Callithrix jacchus: one gene and its partner. The protein of the gene in region 1 interacts with the protein of each later gene in a pairwise test. Links are inferred from orthologs where the notes say so. Each region holds a gene or a part of one and is shown in the gene's direction. Other genes may lie near its edges.

Region 1 (7,305 bases):
GTTTTTAAGTGTTTCATTTTTAAAAAGCTTTATAAATGAATTAATATCAGGTAAATCTACATGTAGTATGTTGTATCTCATCTAATGTAAATCCGTATCATAGTCTTGATTTTAACTTTTTGGCATACTTATCATATTTCATTAGCTGGTTTCTTCCTTAATGTGAAGGTTGAAGAACTAGTACTAGGAATAGAAATGTCAGTTCCTATGCTGTTTATATTTGTTTGCCTTATCTTCCATCTGAGGTTCTTCTGCAAGAATCTTTCAACCATTTTGTCTGTTTGGTTTTGTTGTTCTGGAACGAAGCCTTGCTGTGTGTTACCCAGGCTGGAGTCGAGTGGCACAATTTTGGCTGACTGCAGCCTCTCCCTCCTGGGTTCAAGCAATTCTCTTGCCTCTACCTCCTCAATAGCTGGGACTACAGGCTCATGCCACCATGCTTGGCTAATTTTTGTATTTCTAGTAGAGACAGGGTTTTACCATGTTGGTCAGGCCAGTCTCAAACTCCTGACTTCAAGCGATCTGCCCACCTTAGCCTCCTTGTGCTGGGATTACAGGTGTGTGCCATCACGCCTGGCCTCATTTATGTATTTGTGGAGGTAGTTTAGTTACACTAGATAACTAAATTTGTATATCTAGTGTATATCTCCTTATTGAGCATACTGTAATATGCTAAGAGCAAATGAGTGAGGACTTCACTGTCGTCCTCTTATAGAGTTCTCTACTCTTCCCTCAGAATACTTGAATAGTATATGATACTTGTAGACCATCTGACATACCAACTCGGTGAGACCTAGACTATAAATACGTAGTAAATATTTATAAAAGCTCATTTTTATTTATGGGCAGAAAAATCATTCCAATTATTTTCTTCCACACCCCATTGGATTATCTGTGTATACTCTACTTTGGGGAAACTAGTGACTGAAAATGATAGGTTCTATTTAAAGTTTTGCTGGGCATTGAAAAGAAATTTGACTGACTAGTCTTATTCTAACAACTATCAGAGTCCTTCTGGCATTTTCAGAATTGTAGATGTCATCATATGTTTTAAGGGCTTTAAAAAAATACATTTCACCTTTTTTAGTAATGTTAATGCTCTATATTTTCTGTCAATAGAAATCTAATTAATTATATTTTGCTAAGCCTGAGCTAAAAATGTGTAAAGGTTGACTGTCAAATGTGCATTAAATTGTTATTGATCGTGTTTATCAACATTATACTGTGTTACAACAGCTGTGTGAGATGGAGAACGTTTTTACTGTGTCATCAGATCCTCACCCCTCTCCTGCAGCCCCTCCTTCACTTTCTTTACCCTTATCTTCATCTTCTACCTCATCTGGGACTAAAAAACAAAAGAGGACCCCAACTTATCAGAGATCTGTAAGTCAGGAAAGCAGCCATCTCAGCTTATCTTGTTTTGTGTTAAGAGCATGACCTAGGATTGCCACTCATTCTGGTTGAAATGTCCTGCAGACTCACTCTCTAACTTCCCTCATGTTTTTTTTCACCTTCAGTCTCTGTACTGAAGATAACTTCAGTAGTTTAGGGTGTTGCTGCTCAAGGTATGTCTAAGAATCGGAAGCATTGTTACCATCTTGGATCTTAATAGAGATGGAAAATCCCCACGCCCAGAGTCTGATTTTGTATTTTAACCAGAGTGCTGGTTAACTTCATTTGAGAAGCTCTGGTTTAGAGCCAGACCTTCTTGGTTTTATTCTGCTGTTTGATTTTGGCAAGTCATTTAACTTCTCTGTCTGTTTTCTCATTGGTAATATGAGGCTAATACTTTCTTGTGGGCTTTTGTGAAAGTTAGGTGAGCTAATATATGTCAAACACAGAACGGTGACTAGTGTGAAAGAATTAGAACTTAATTACCTCCAGGTGTGGTGGCTTTGATTTAACATGATTTGACTATCCACACACATTGTTGACTCGTACTTTGGTTTGTCTTTCTAGAATTTTACTTTTTTCCTAATGAAAATACATCCTTTTTATTAATAATTCCCAACATCCACTTAAATGGAAATACTTATAAATCAGATTTTCAATGAAAGGGCCTAAAACATAATTGTAATAATTTGGAAGTGCCATTACTGTGGTTACAGACCTAGGCTTTGCTAAGGATTTTGTCCTATTTTATTTTGTCCTTCAGTTATAGTTTGTTTTGTTGTTTTACTCAAATAAGGCAAAATGAAACATCTGATGTGATAGTATTTTATGACTGGCAGGTTCCATTATATTACTTTTAAATAGCTCCTATTTTGCTAAATGGGAAAGAAATGATAGTTACAGTTTTCATCATCTTTGTGAAAAGTGAAGGATTTCTTTCAGGTAAAGATTTCTTTTAATGTGCCTGTGAAATGATTCAGCATTTTAAAAATGAAAATGCTTTTGCTGTCTTGGAGTTTTGTCTCAAAAGTTTTCTAATGCACTATTTTGGATAGTCTTTTATTAAAGGACCTAAGCATGAATTACTCTGAAGTTTTCTAGTTTAAATATTGCATTGCATAGAAAGTTTATTTTGTTAATCTCTACTAACTTTAGATGTGCCTTCCAAGTGCATGACTTACTAAATATTAAGGTATCAGCTGGAGTTTCAAAGTAGGTGTTACCAAATCATTTAAGGAAGAGTCTGGTAGTTTGTGGTTGCTGTCTCTTAATGTTAATTGCCTTTGTTCTGAAATTGTTTTAGTAATTTTCAGTTCATGTAAAGGCAGTAGTTGCTATACCTTAATATTAAACCCCAGAAATTCTATTTTTATTTGGTAAGTGGAAATTCTACCATAAATGGGGGCACTTCCCCAGTATAACTTGTTTTCTCTGAAATGTTTTATTAGCTAAATAAATGTTGCAGTAATAAAAGTCCATAATCTTCCTTTTTCTTTTTTTTCCCCCCTTTTTGTATAGAAGATTTAGTGACTTACTAAAGACTTAATATGCTATGGAGATAATGTCTAGATCTGTATATATTCTTTTTCTTTTTAAAACAGATGAGCTTTGATCCAAACCTTCTCCACAACAATGGACATAATGGGTACCCTAATGGTACTTCAGCAGCACTGCGTGAAACTGGGGTTATTGAAAAACTGTTAACCTCTTATGGATTTATTCAGTGTTCAGAACGTCAAGCTAGACTTTTCTTCCACTGTTCACAGTATAATGGCAACCTACAAGACTTAAAAGTAGGAGGTAATTTGTCAGTTCTCCTTTGTAAAAATGTAATCACAAAATTTGTCTTGCATATTAACTTGATCATGAATGTTTTTCAAAAAAAGTGTTTTATGTAAATAACATTTTGGACTTTTAGTTGTACTGTTTACTGAAGAATATCTGTATAAACCAGCAGAATCCTTAAAAGATGTCTTTGCATATATTTACAATAAAATGCTTGGAAGATTTCATTGTTGTTTCCCCTAATAATGACTGTTTACCTGTAATATTTTAAGCCAGTAGGAGTATTGAACTTCTATAATGTTGTTTATGTTATTTTATCAGGTACTATTTTTGGTAGTACCTGAAAAGAGTAATTCTTAGAATGTCACGTCTTAGATTATATGGAAATTCATCTTGGCTGATACCATACAAATTATTTTCACAGGCGTGGCATTGTATCTCAAGCCTGTATTCCCAGCATTTTAGGAGGCGAGGGCAGGCGGATTCCTTGAGCTAAGTAGTTCAAGACCAGCTTGCAGCCTGGGCAACATGGCAAAACCTCATCTCTACAAAAATTAGCCGGGCAAGGTGGCTTGTGCCTGTAGTCCCAGCTTCTTGGTAGACTGAGGTGGGAGGATCGCTTGAGCCCAGGAGGTAGAGGTTGCAGTGAACTTAGATGATGCCACTGCACTCCAGCCTGGGTGACAGGGAGACCCTGTCTCAAAAAAAAAAAAAAATGTTTTTACATGTCAAATTGTTTGGCTTACTAAAGGACTGAAATTATGAGGCCTCTGCATTTAAAAAAAATATGTTTGAGAAAAGAGCATACTAGCTAACAAGATGCATCTATATGAGCATTGTTTTGGTTAATCCTCATGGCACTCCTCTTTGGAATTTTTCTCCTTTTACATATGAGAAAACTGAGGGACAGGAGTTGAAAAAAAAAAACTTGCCAAAGGTTATGATTGTTAAATTATCTCATCTGCAGTGTATGTAGATGCCATAAAAACTAACGTTAAGACATGGCTCTCAGTCTAAGATGCTGGTTCTGAAACATGAGTGTGTATCAGAATGATGGGAAAGGCTTGTTAAAACACAGATTGCCATACTTGATCTTCAGAGTTTGTCTTTAAGTAGGACTTGAGTGAGGTCCAAGAATTTGCATTTCTTTTAAGCTCCCAGGTGATGTTAATGCTGCTGGTCCAGGCACCAGGCTGTGAAAACCACTGGTCTAAGGCAATTCAAATGCTGTGTTAAGTATAGCTTGGAAGCAAGATAACGTTTTGCAAAAAATAAGTGAAACAAACGTAACACATTCTTTATTTTAGATGATGTTGAATTCGAAGTGTCATCTGACCGGCGGACTGGGAAACCCATTGCTGTTAAACTGGTGAAGATAAAACAAGAAATCCTTCCTGAAGAACGAATGAATGGACAAGTTAGTGACTTTGATGCTTTGTATTTTTATAGGGCCCTGCATTTGCATATCTTTCACATTAGAAAAGGAAGATTCTCCCCATCTCCTCAGTTTGCACGAAAGAGAGCTATAGTTTATAAAGATTACTATTTTAAGATTATATCAAAAGCACTGGCATTTCTTGACCTGAAATAAAAATGTGGTCAAGACTCAATTGGGTTTTTACATATAACCCTAAGTCAATGCTTACAGTCAGTTTATGTACTGTAAGTTTGAAACTTGGCAGCATGACATCCTCTTGTGGATCATACTAAAATGCATCCCTATGTATAGTATAGAGGATATTAAAATTTAGTTTATATTGCACAGTGCTGCTACTGAAATGATTAGCAATGGAAATTTTTTTTTTTTTGACTGGTAGGTTGTGTGCGCTGTTCCTCACAACTTAGAGAGTAAATCTCCAGCTGCCCCGGGTCAGAGTCCAACAGGGAGTGTATGCTACGAACGTAATGGGGTAAACTTGTGTATTTTTCTTAAACCTTTGCCTGATCCACCATGTGATCTATAAGCGTACTTTAAAATTTCAAAATAGAAAACGTAAGCTGCAATTGTTAAAATCAGTTTTAAATTTGGTTTCTAAGAAGCTTCAAATGCAGCATAATCAAAATATTTAAAAAGAAAAAATTCCATAGGACTTCCAAGTGTCTTAGCTTGCCCAAGTATGACCTTAGTTAGAACATTAAGGTAAAATGTTCCTTTTAATCACGTTTTTTGTGGGGGGGGGGGATCTTTTTTCTGGTTTCTTTTAAGCACTAACGCCAGCTTTTTTATTTGGAATGTTTTATATAAAATTGTTTTTTTTGAAATGTAACTACAGTCTCTGGGCAAATGCTTCCACATGTGTAAGCTTTTTGACGCTGGATTGCTGCTCAGCTGTGGACTTGCAGAAGTCATCAGCACCATGGAGGGGGAAGTGTGTGTTTATATGAATAAAATAACTTACTTGTCATAAAGTATTTAAGAAATTTGGCTTAAAATGCCAGTATAAGAGATTTTTAAGTAAATCACAGTATACAGTTAATATGCATCCTGCCAAAATAGTAATAATGATGTATTAATTCACAGGAAGTGTTTTATCTGACTTACACCCCTGAAGATGTCGAAGGAAACGTTCAGCTAGAAACCGGAGATAAAATAAACTTCGTAATTGATAACAATAAACAGTAAGTTTTTTGTTTTTATTTTAATTTCCTCACTTAAGTGTTTTTTGTTTTTGTTTTGTTTTCCATTAAGAAATTTGAAGTCCTGACTTGTAAGTTTGGATGGTTTTCATGAACTTTTAATTTATCAGCTAGTGATTTGGGATCTATGATTATTACAGCTATGATGCAGTGTCGGAAATAGGAAGATAATTAAAACATTGTCAGGGTTTTCAAGGACTTGTTCTAGAGATCATGAAGGTTTTTCAAAAAATAGTGTTTTGAGGGAAGGATATAGTCACTAGAGAGAGGGAAAAAACCATTATGGATAGAAGTAGTATCATGTCATGTTTCGGGGAAATGGCCAAAAATTTGATTGAATTGACCAGAAAGTTAAGGTTAAGTATTCTTCCACAATTCTAGGAATCTTTGAAGTATTTAAAACAAGGAAGTATGATTGATTTAGATCTTTGGAGGTGGTAGAAGTGATAGACTTTTGAAAAATGGGGATGCTGTTGACAAGAGTCAGTGATGTGACAGTTAAAATGAAAGGTGAATGCCTAATATGGATAGATTCAGAGGATGGGGTGGAGGAGTCAGGTCACATTGAGAAGATAGAATCATCAATCTTAATTGGTTTAGATAAAGGTGGGATTGGAATTCAGATGAGTCCCAAATACTGTTTTTCTGGCCTGGTCTACTGGACAGACCATAAATTGGTCTAAGGAGACAAATGGAGAAAGTTGAAGGTGGGAAAAGAACCATACTTACTTTGGCAGTTTTTGAATGTTCAGATGTTTTTGATATATCTGGGTAGAGATACCAAATTACAGTCTGAAGGCCTGAATTTATATAGTTGTTAATCCTCAGAACAGCCCTACCTGGTAAGTTTCTTCATCTGTAAAATGAGGTATAAGTTCTCAGAGTTATCTGTCGATGTTCATGCTGCTTTTTAATAGCAGACATTTAAATTCCCATCTGACTCTTAAAGCCTTTTCACTACAGTGAGTTACAAAAGAAGGCAGACTTTTTCTGGTGTCTTTGTTAGACTGTTACATTTTGAGGGGGCAGGGAGAAAGCACATTTTGGGTTATTTGTCCATGAAAAATTAAGGGAAGTTAATTGCTTGGTTTATATAGGCCTCTTAAAACATTTAGACTAACAGTACCATTGTGTCTTAAATAGTCCATGCTATCTTAAAAACAAAACTGAATTTACATTGCTGCTGCACAAAGATCAGGGTATTAAAGCAGCATGTGGTGTCTCTTGTTTCTATTTTCCAGTAGAGGTGAATATCAGTATTTTTAAAAGTGTAGCAGGTTCTCTTAAAATCACTTCATTTATTCAACGTTTATGGCTGTTTACGCAGAAATAATTAATGAGATAGCTACTAAATTTAGCACTCGCTGAAAATATGGCTATTTACTCATAATTAATAAAATAGCTACTAAATTTAGCAAACTTTGTAAATTCTAAATTTCTAAAACTTTAGTATTCCCCACCTTTGATAACACTTGCTTTATGGCTTTCAGT
Region 2 (6,568 bases), on another chromosome or scaffold:
TGACATCTGAAGGAGTTTAGTCCTGTTTATAGGAGCCATTGGCACTCTGATAACATTTTTATTTTATTTATTTATCTTATTTTTTATTTTTGAGACAGAGTCTTACTCTGTTGCCCAGGCTGTAGTGCAGTGGCAAAATCGTCATTCAGCTCAAGCTCCGCCTCCTGGGTTCAAGCGATTCTCATGCTTCAGCCTCCTAAGTAGGTGGGATCACAGGCATGTGCCACCACACGTGGCTAATTTTTTCTTTTGTATTTTTACTTGAGACAGGGTTTTGCTATGTTGGCCAGGCTGGTCTTGAACCCCTGGCTTCAAGCAATCTGCCTGCCTTGGCCTCCCAAAACGCTGGGGTTACAGGTATGAGCCACCACACCCAGCCATATTTCATTTTATTTCTAATTATAGTGACAGGGTCTCACTATGTTTCCCAGGCTGGTCTCGAACTCCTGAGCTCAAATGATCCTCCTGCCTCTGCCTTCCAAAGTACTGGGATTACATAGGTGTGAGCCACTGTGCCTGGCCTCTTCTGTGTTTCATACATGTAGCACACATGTTAGGACTAGCTTCGTGCTTCAAGCACAAAGTGGCCACATGTGGCTGGTATCCACCGTCTTAAGCAGTACAGGTTTGGACAATTGGTGTCACACAGTATGGGGATGTAGCAACCCCACCCTTTCTGCCTTTGCCCTCCCCCTCCAGACCCCCCAGAAGGACTGCACACAGCTGCTGGGGAGAGGAAACGGGAGGGGCCAGGCTCCCTGGGGTTCAGGACCCAGCAAGGCAGGCGGCCATGGGCTAGGGCAAAATGCCTTCAATGTGAACATGTTTTGGAGAGGATGGTTGTGGCTAGGGGTGGCTGGCCTGTCTGTGGTCTGGTTTAGAGTGCAGGGTGGATAGTGTGTGGTGGTAGAGGCCTCTAGCTGGGGGTTGTAAGCTCTGGGTCCAGAACTGTCCCTTCCCCTCCTGGTTCACTCTCTGGCTCCATTTCACAAATCTTTATTTTATTTATTTATTTATTTATTTATTTTTGAGATGGAGTCTCGCTCTGTTGCCCAGGCTGGAGTGCAATGGCATGATCTCAGCTCACTGCAACCTCTACCTCCTGGGTTCAAGTGATTCTCCTGTCTCAGCCTCCTAAGTAGCTGGAATTACAGGGGCCTACCCCCATGCCTGGCTAATTTTTTTTTTTTTTTTTCTGTATTTTTAGTAGAGATAGGGTTTCACCATGTTGGTCAGGCTAGTCTCAAACTCCTGACCTGTGATCTGCCCACCTCGGCCTCCCACTGCTCCCGGCCCCATCTCACAAATCTTAACTGAGCCAATTCCAAGGATGCATTTGTGAACACAACAACCCTGGTCCCTGGCATGTGGAGCCCTCAGCCTAGTGAGGGAAAATGACACAAGACAAGGAAGTGTGCAGGTCAGCAGGGAACTTCAGGCTGGGTGTGCCCCAGAATACATCTCTAGTGACATGGCAGCTTGACGTTCTAGAAAGATTTAAAGTCCTGAGTTTGTATCCCTGCCCAATCATTTCATTACTGGGGAACTCGGGCCAAGTTTATAACCTTCTTGGAGCCTCAGTTTCCCTATCCATAAAATGGGGATGATCTTGTCTGTGCCCTGCCTCCCTCTTGGCGTGGGAATGGCGGCTGGCACAGGTGGGATGCATATGGCTTTGTAAGCAGGACAGCTGTCTTCCTGGTCGAGGGGTGAGGGTGGGGGTCTCACTGCCTCCCAGGACTCTACATGGAGTATGGCCAGTGTAGACTCGGCCTCTCGGGCCTTGGTCTTCCTGGTTCTGCAGGGAGAAGGAAGGGATTGGGAACAGGAGGATGTTGTGTCACTCAGACCCAGGATGTGCAGGGATGGCTGGGGGTGCCCAGGAGTGAGCTGGCTCCTCCCCTACAGTGTCCCCCTACCTCAAGAGCCTGTCCATGGTGACTGCCAACAAGTTGCTGCACCTGCTGGAGGCCTTCTCCACCACCTGGTTCCTCTTCTCTGCTGCCCAGAACCACCACCTGGTCTTCTTCCTCCTGGAGGTCTTCAACAACATCATCCAGTACCAGTTTGATGGTGAGGCACCAGCCTGAGGCCCTGGCCATCAGGGTGGCCAGTGGACCTCCTTCCTACCTAAGGAGGGCACAGTCCAGGAGATGGCCTTCTGCCCTGGTTCTTTCATTCAGGGTACATTTATTGGGCACCGGCAGTGTACCTGGGTGCGGGGAATACAGTGGGGAACAAAGCTTTGCTTCTTGCCCTGTGGAGCTCACAGCTGGGGATGCAGGCAGGCAGGGAGCCTTCAAACAGATGATTACCTTCTAACAGGGCATCTGACTTTTGTGTGTGTGTGAGGGTGTCTCACTCTGTCGCCCAGGCTGGAGTGCAGTGTCGCGATCTTGGCTCACTGCAACCTCCAACCCCCCGGGTTCAAGCGATTCTCCTGCCTCAGTCCCCCAAGTAGCTGGGATTACAGATGCCCCCCACCACACCTGGCTACCTTTTTGCATTTGTAGTAGAGATAAGCAATCTGCCTGCCTCAGCCTCCCAAAGCGTTGGGGTTATGGGCATGAGCTGCTGGGCTGGACCTTTCCCTTTGTGGGATTTCACCAAGTTGGCCAGTCAGGGTCTCAAACTTGTGACCTCAAAAGATCCACCCGCCTTGGCCTCCCAAAATGCTGGGATTATAGGCATGAGCCGCCATGTCCGGCCTGAAATGGGATAAAAGGGAAGTGCAGAGTAGTGAGACCCTGATGGGTGTCTCAGCAGCTATCTGCCGAGTGTCACAGACACCTGGCTGCCGGCTGTCACTTCAAGCCTTGCCACTTGGCCCTGTGACTGGGGCATGTCATCTGACCTCTCTGAGCCTCTGTTCCCTCATATGTAAGGTGCTTGTAACAATGGTTCTAAGAGTCCCTGTCTCAGAGAGTGTTGGGGAGACTGAACAAAATAACCCCGAGAAGGCACTTAGCACAGCGCCTGGCAACTGAAAAACAATCCATTTTTATTATTGCTATTTCCAAAGTCAGTCAAATTTGCCGTGATCTCTGAGGGAGAACTAGGGGCAAGGTGGGGGAGGAGACAGCATGTGCAAAGGCCCTGCTGGTGGGATGTGGAGCTGAAAGTGGAGGAGTATGGCAGGAGGCAGGACCAGAGCCAGGAGAGGTCAGCGGCGGGGATGGATGGCAGAGACTCCTCCTGGCACCTTGCTTGGGGAGAGAGTCAGAATATTTAATGGCTGGCCTGGTGTGGACACTGCCGTCCTGGGGCCTGCCCTCTTTGCCAGGTGTTAGCCCTTTAGTGCTGGGTTGTGGGGGCGTCTTGGGCACTGGGGAGGGGTGTTGTGGGGTGCTCAGGCCTGACATCCTGGGATAGCCATAGTGGGCACACATAGCCAGTGCCAGCCTTGGCCCAGCACCCTCTCTTGGGCTCCCTGTACCATCCCCAACCCCTTTGGCAGACACCTTTCTGTCCTCCAAACTCCCCCTTCGAGGAAGCCCACCCCGATTGGATGGGGGATTGGGAGGGGCCTCCCTGAGGCGAGACATGCTCCCTGCCCACAGGCAACTCCAACCTGGTCTATGCCATCATCCGAAAGCGCAGCGTCTTCCACCAGCTGGCCAACCTGCCCACGGACCTGCCCACCATCCACAAGGCCCTGCAGCGGCGCCGTCGGACACCTGAGCCCCTGTCCCGTACCGGCTCACAGGAGGGCACCTCCATGGAGGGCTCCCGCCCTGCCGCCCCTGCAGAGCCTGGCACTCTCAAGACCAGCCTGGTGGCCACTCCAGGTCTGGTGTGAGTGGGTGGAAGAAGAGCATGGATACCGGTGTGGCTGGGGGAGAGACATGAGGATGTGACCTCAGGGTGTCACCCCCATCTCTGGCAAAGAGTGTGTCTTGCATTGGAAAGCTGAGGGGATGGGGCTGGGCAACAGGGATGGGGAGGGTACTGGGTGGGCTTAGCATGGGTAGCTTGGTGTTGGGGGCAGAGCCTCAGGGCAAGTGTAGACTGTGGAGAGGTGGGCACAGGAGAGGACGTTGCAGTGATCAGATACTGCCTCTAGAACCAACAGAAATTCCAGAGGGAAGCAGGGGTAAAATACAAACACAAATAAAAAATAAAGTGGGTGGAAGAAGGGCTAGAAGGGGGTTTTCACTCCCACCTGTGCCCTGCCCAGGCATTGACAAGCTGACTGAGAAGTCCCAGGTGTCAGAGGATGGCACCTTGAGGTCCCTGGAGCCTGAGCCCCAGCAGAGCTCGGAGGACGGCAGCCCGGCCAAGGGGGTGGGTGATGGGGACTCCTGGAGCTGGGCGAGGCTGCCCTTCCCTTCCTCCCTGGCTTCTGCAGTGGGGGCTGGGCTGGGGCGCTCTGGGGTCACCTGCAGGAGAGGGGCAAGCACCCAGTGCCCAGGGCATCAGGGTCAGTGCTGCTGACTCCCTTGGGGGTAGGGACCTTTCATAGACCCCTCCCTTGTTTACTGGTCCTGGCAAAGCCCTTGGCCTTCAGACTTCTCATCCCTCGGCCTTATCTGAGCTGGCCTTTACCCAGCCTGCCCTGTCAGCCGCTGGCCCTAAACCTGTCACTAGGTTGGGCTGGGCCTGGGGCCCGGGGCAAAGGCTGCTGGGCTGGGCCTTCTCCTTTGTGGGATTTCCAGCTGCCAGTAGAGAGAACTCATTGCCCCCCACCCCTCACCCACCCCCTCCATACCTCACCCCTGTTTCTTTCTGGGGGCCAGGAGTCCAGCCAGGCATGGAGGGAGCAGCGGCGACTGTCCAGCTCATCAGCCAGTGGGCAGTGGAGCCCAACGCCGGAATGGGTGAGGGACCCCATGCCCGGCGAGCGGGGTCTGGGGTGTGGGCAGATGGCACTGGGGTGGGAGCTGGCTTGGGGCTCCCTGGCCCAGGGAAGCTCAGTGAAGACTCATTGAAGATGGCTATGTGTCCGAATCAAAGGACCCTGGCATAGGAGCCTGCCTCCGGGTCAGTCCTTCCACTGGGTGACATCCCACATGTTTGGCCTCTCTCTGGCTCAGCTGCTTCCTCTGTCTACATGATTGCCAGAGTCCCTAGCAGGATTAAGCTCCAGTGCCCACAGTGTTCTCTTCCTTAATAAATCACTCTTTCCCACTTCCTTCCCTGAATCTCATCCCCACCTGCTGTGTCTCCTGAGATCACGCTGACTGCACTGGAACGGGGATAATTGCCGTCCCTGCCTGACCATGATATTGTGAGGGCTAAAGGCGACAGTCTCCCGAGAGGCACGTGGCACAGCCTAATGCAGGGCCATGGTGCTTGCCATTAATAACAATTAACTGTTCCCGGATCCTGCTTGGTACATTTACTGAGCACCGGCAGTGTACCTGGGTGCAGGGAATACAGTGGGGAACAAAGCTTTGCTTCTTGCCCTGTGGAGCTCAGAGCTGGGGATGGGGGCAGGCAGGGAGGATTGCCCTCTTACAGGGCATCTGACATTTTTTGTGTGTGTGAGGCTCTGTTGCCCAGGCTGGAGTGCAGTGGCATGATCTCAGCTCACTGCACCCTCCATCTTCTGGGCTCAAGCAATTCTCCCACCTCAGCCCCCGAGTAGCTGGGACTACAGGCATGCACCACCACACCTGGCTGCTTGGTGCCAGGCCTGTGCTGCGGGGAGCAGGGGCACTTTCTGCCTTGGGGAGCCCGTGGTGCTGGGTCAGGGTCAGGCTTGCCTTGCAGCCTCCGGGGGCTGCTTTCCCAGCCCCAGGAACCGGTCCGTCCCCAGGTCCTGTCCTGGAAGTCGAAGCTGCCACTGCAGACCATCATGAGGCTTCTGCAGGTGCTGGTTCCGCAGGTGGAGAAGATCTGCATTGACAAGTGAGTTGGGTGCCAGCAGGCCAGAGCGCGGGCAGGTGGGCTTTGGGCGGGGCAAACCTAGGCTCAGGTGAGCGTGTGATGGAAAGCACGGGTCTTGGGGTTCCAGGGTGATCCCTCTGCTCACCTAGACCGTGTGAGTGTGCTGGAGACACCCTCTCTCGATAGGGGCCTGACGGATGAGTCTGAGATCCTACGGTTCCTGCAACATGGCACTCTGGTGGGGCTGCTACCCGTGCCCCACCCCATCCTCATCCGCAAGTACCAGGCCAACTCGGGCACTGCCATGTGGTTCCGAACCTACATGTGGGGCGTCATCTATCTGAGGTGGGCCCCGGGGGGTGGGGTGGTGTCCACCTGAGAGCCTGTCCAGCAGGTCTCAGCAGGGACCTCTGCTCCGGGCCCCACCACCTGTGGTGGACTTCACGTTGAGACAGTCGACTAAGGCTGCCTTGCCTGCTTGAGGGTGGGCACCGGGATAGAAAGGGCTGGCTTGGCCATTCCTGCCGCCCAGCTCCTCCCGGTGCCTTGTCTGCAAGATGTCCCGGCACCCAGGTAACCCCCCATTTCCTCCACAGGAATGTGGACCCCCCTGTCTGGTATGACACCGACGTGAAGCTGTTTGAGATACAGCGGGTGTGAGGATGGAGTCGGCGAGGCACTCAGTCTAGGGGAGGGTGGGGCCCTGGTCCCTAAGGCTTCCCCCACCCACCATTCTGAG

What was found.
Region 2: the proteins of CSDE1 (region 1) and HID1 interact in binary tests that used the Homo sapiens proteins (3 or more experiments, as listed by UniProt). The two-hybrid records come from large-scale screens. The link is inferred for Callithrix jacchus from reciprocal best matches to the Homo sapiens genes CSDE1 and HID1.

Annotation. Positions count from the first base shown.
Region 1 is NC_133508.1:152,717,514-152,724,818, reverse strand, and holds part of CSDE1 (cold shock domain-containing protein E1), read left to right. Parts: intron 1-1,236; 5' UTR 1,237-1,245; coding exon 1,246-1,383; intron 1,384-2,993; coding exon 2,994-3,192; intron 3,193-4,484; coding exon 4,485-4,594; intron 4,595-4,994; coding exon 4,995-5,087; intron 5,088-5,698; coding exon 5,699-5,796; intron 5,797-7,305. UniProt on the Homo sapiens protein: RNA-binding protein involved in translationally coupled mRNA turnover.
Region 2 is NC_133506.1:130,881,260-130,887,827, reverse strand, and holds part of HID1 (protein HID1), read left to right. Parts: intron 1-1,908; coding exon 1,909-2,073; intron 2,074-3,560; coding exon 3,561-3,788; intron 3,789-4,177; coding exon 4,178-4,284; intron 4,285-4,736; coding exon 4,737-4,817; intron 4,818-5,758; coding exon 5,759-5,850; intron 5,851-6,015; coding exon 6,016-6,174; intron 6,175-6,425; coding exon 6,426-6,489; 3' UTR 6,490-6,568. UniProt on the Homo sapiens protein: May play an important role in the development of cancers in a broad range of tissues.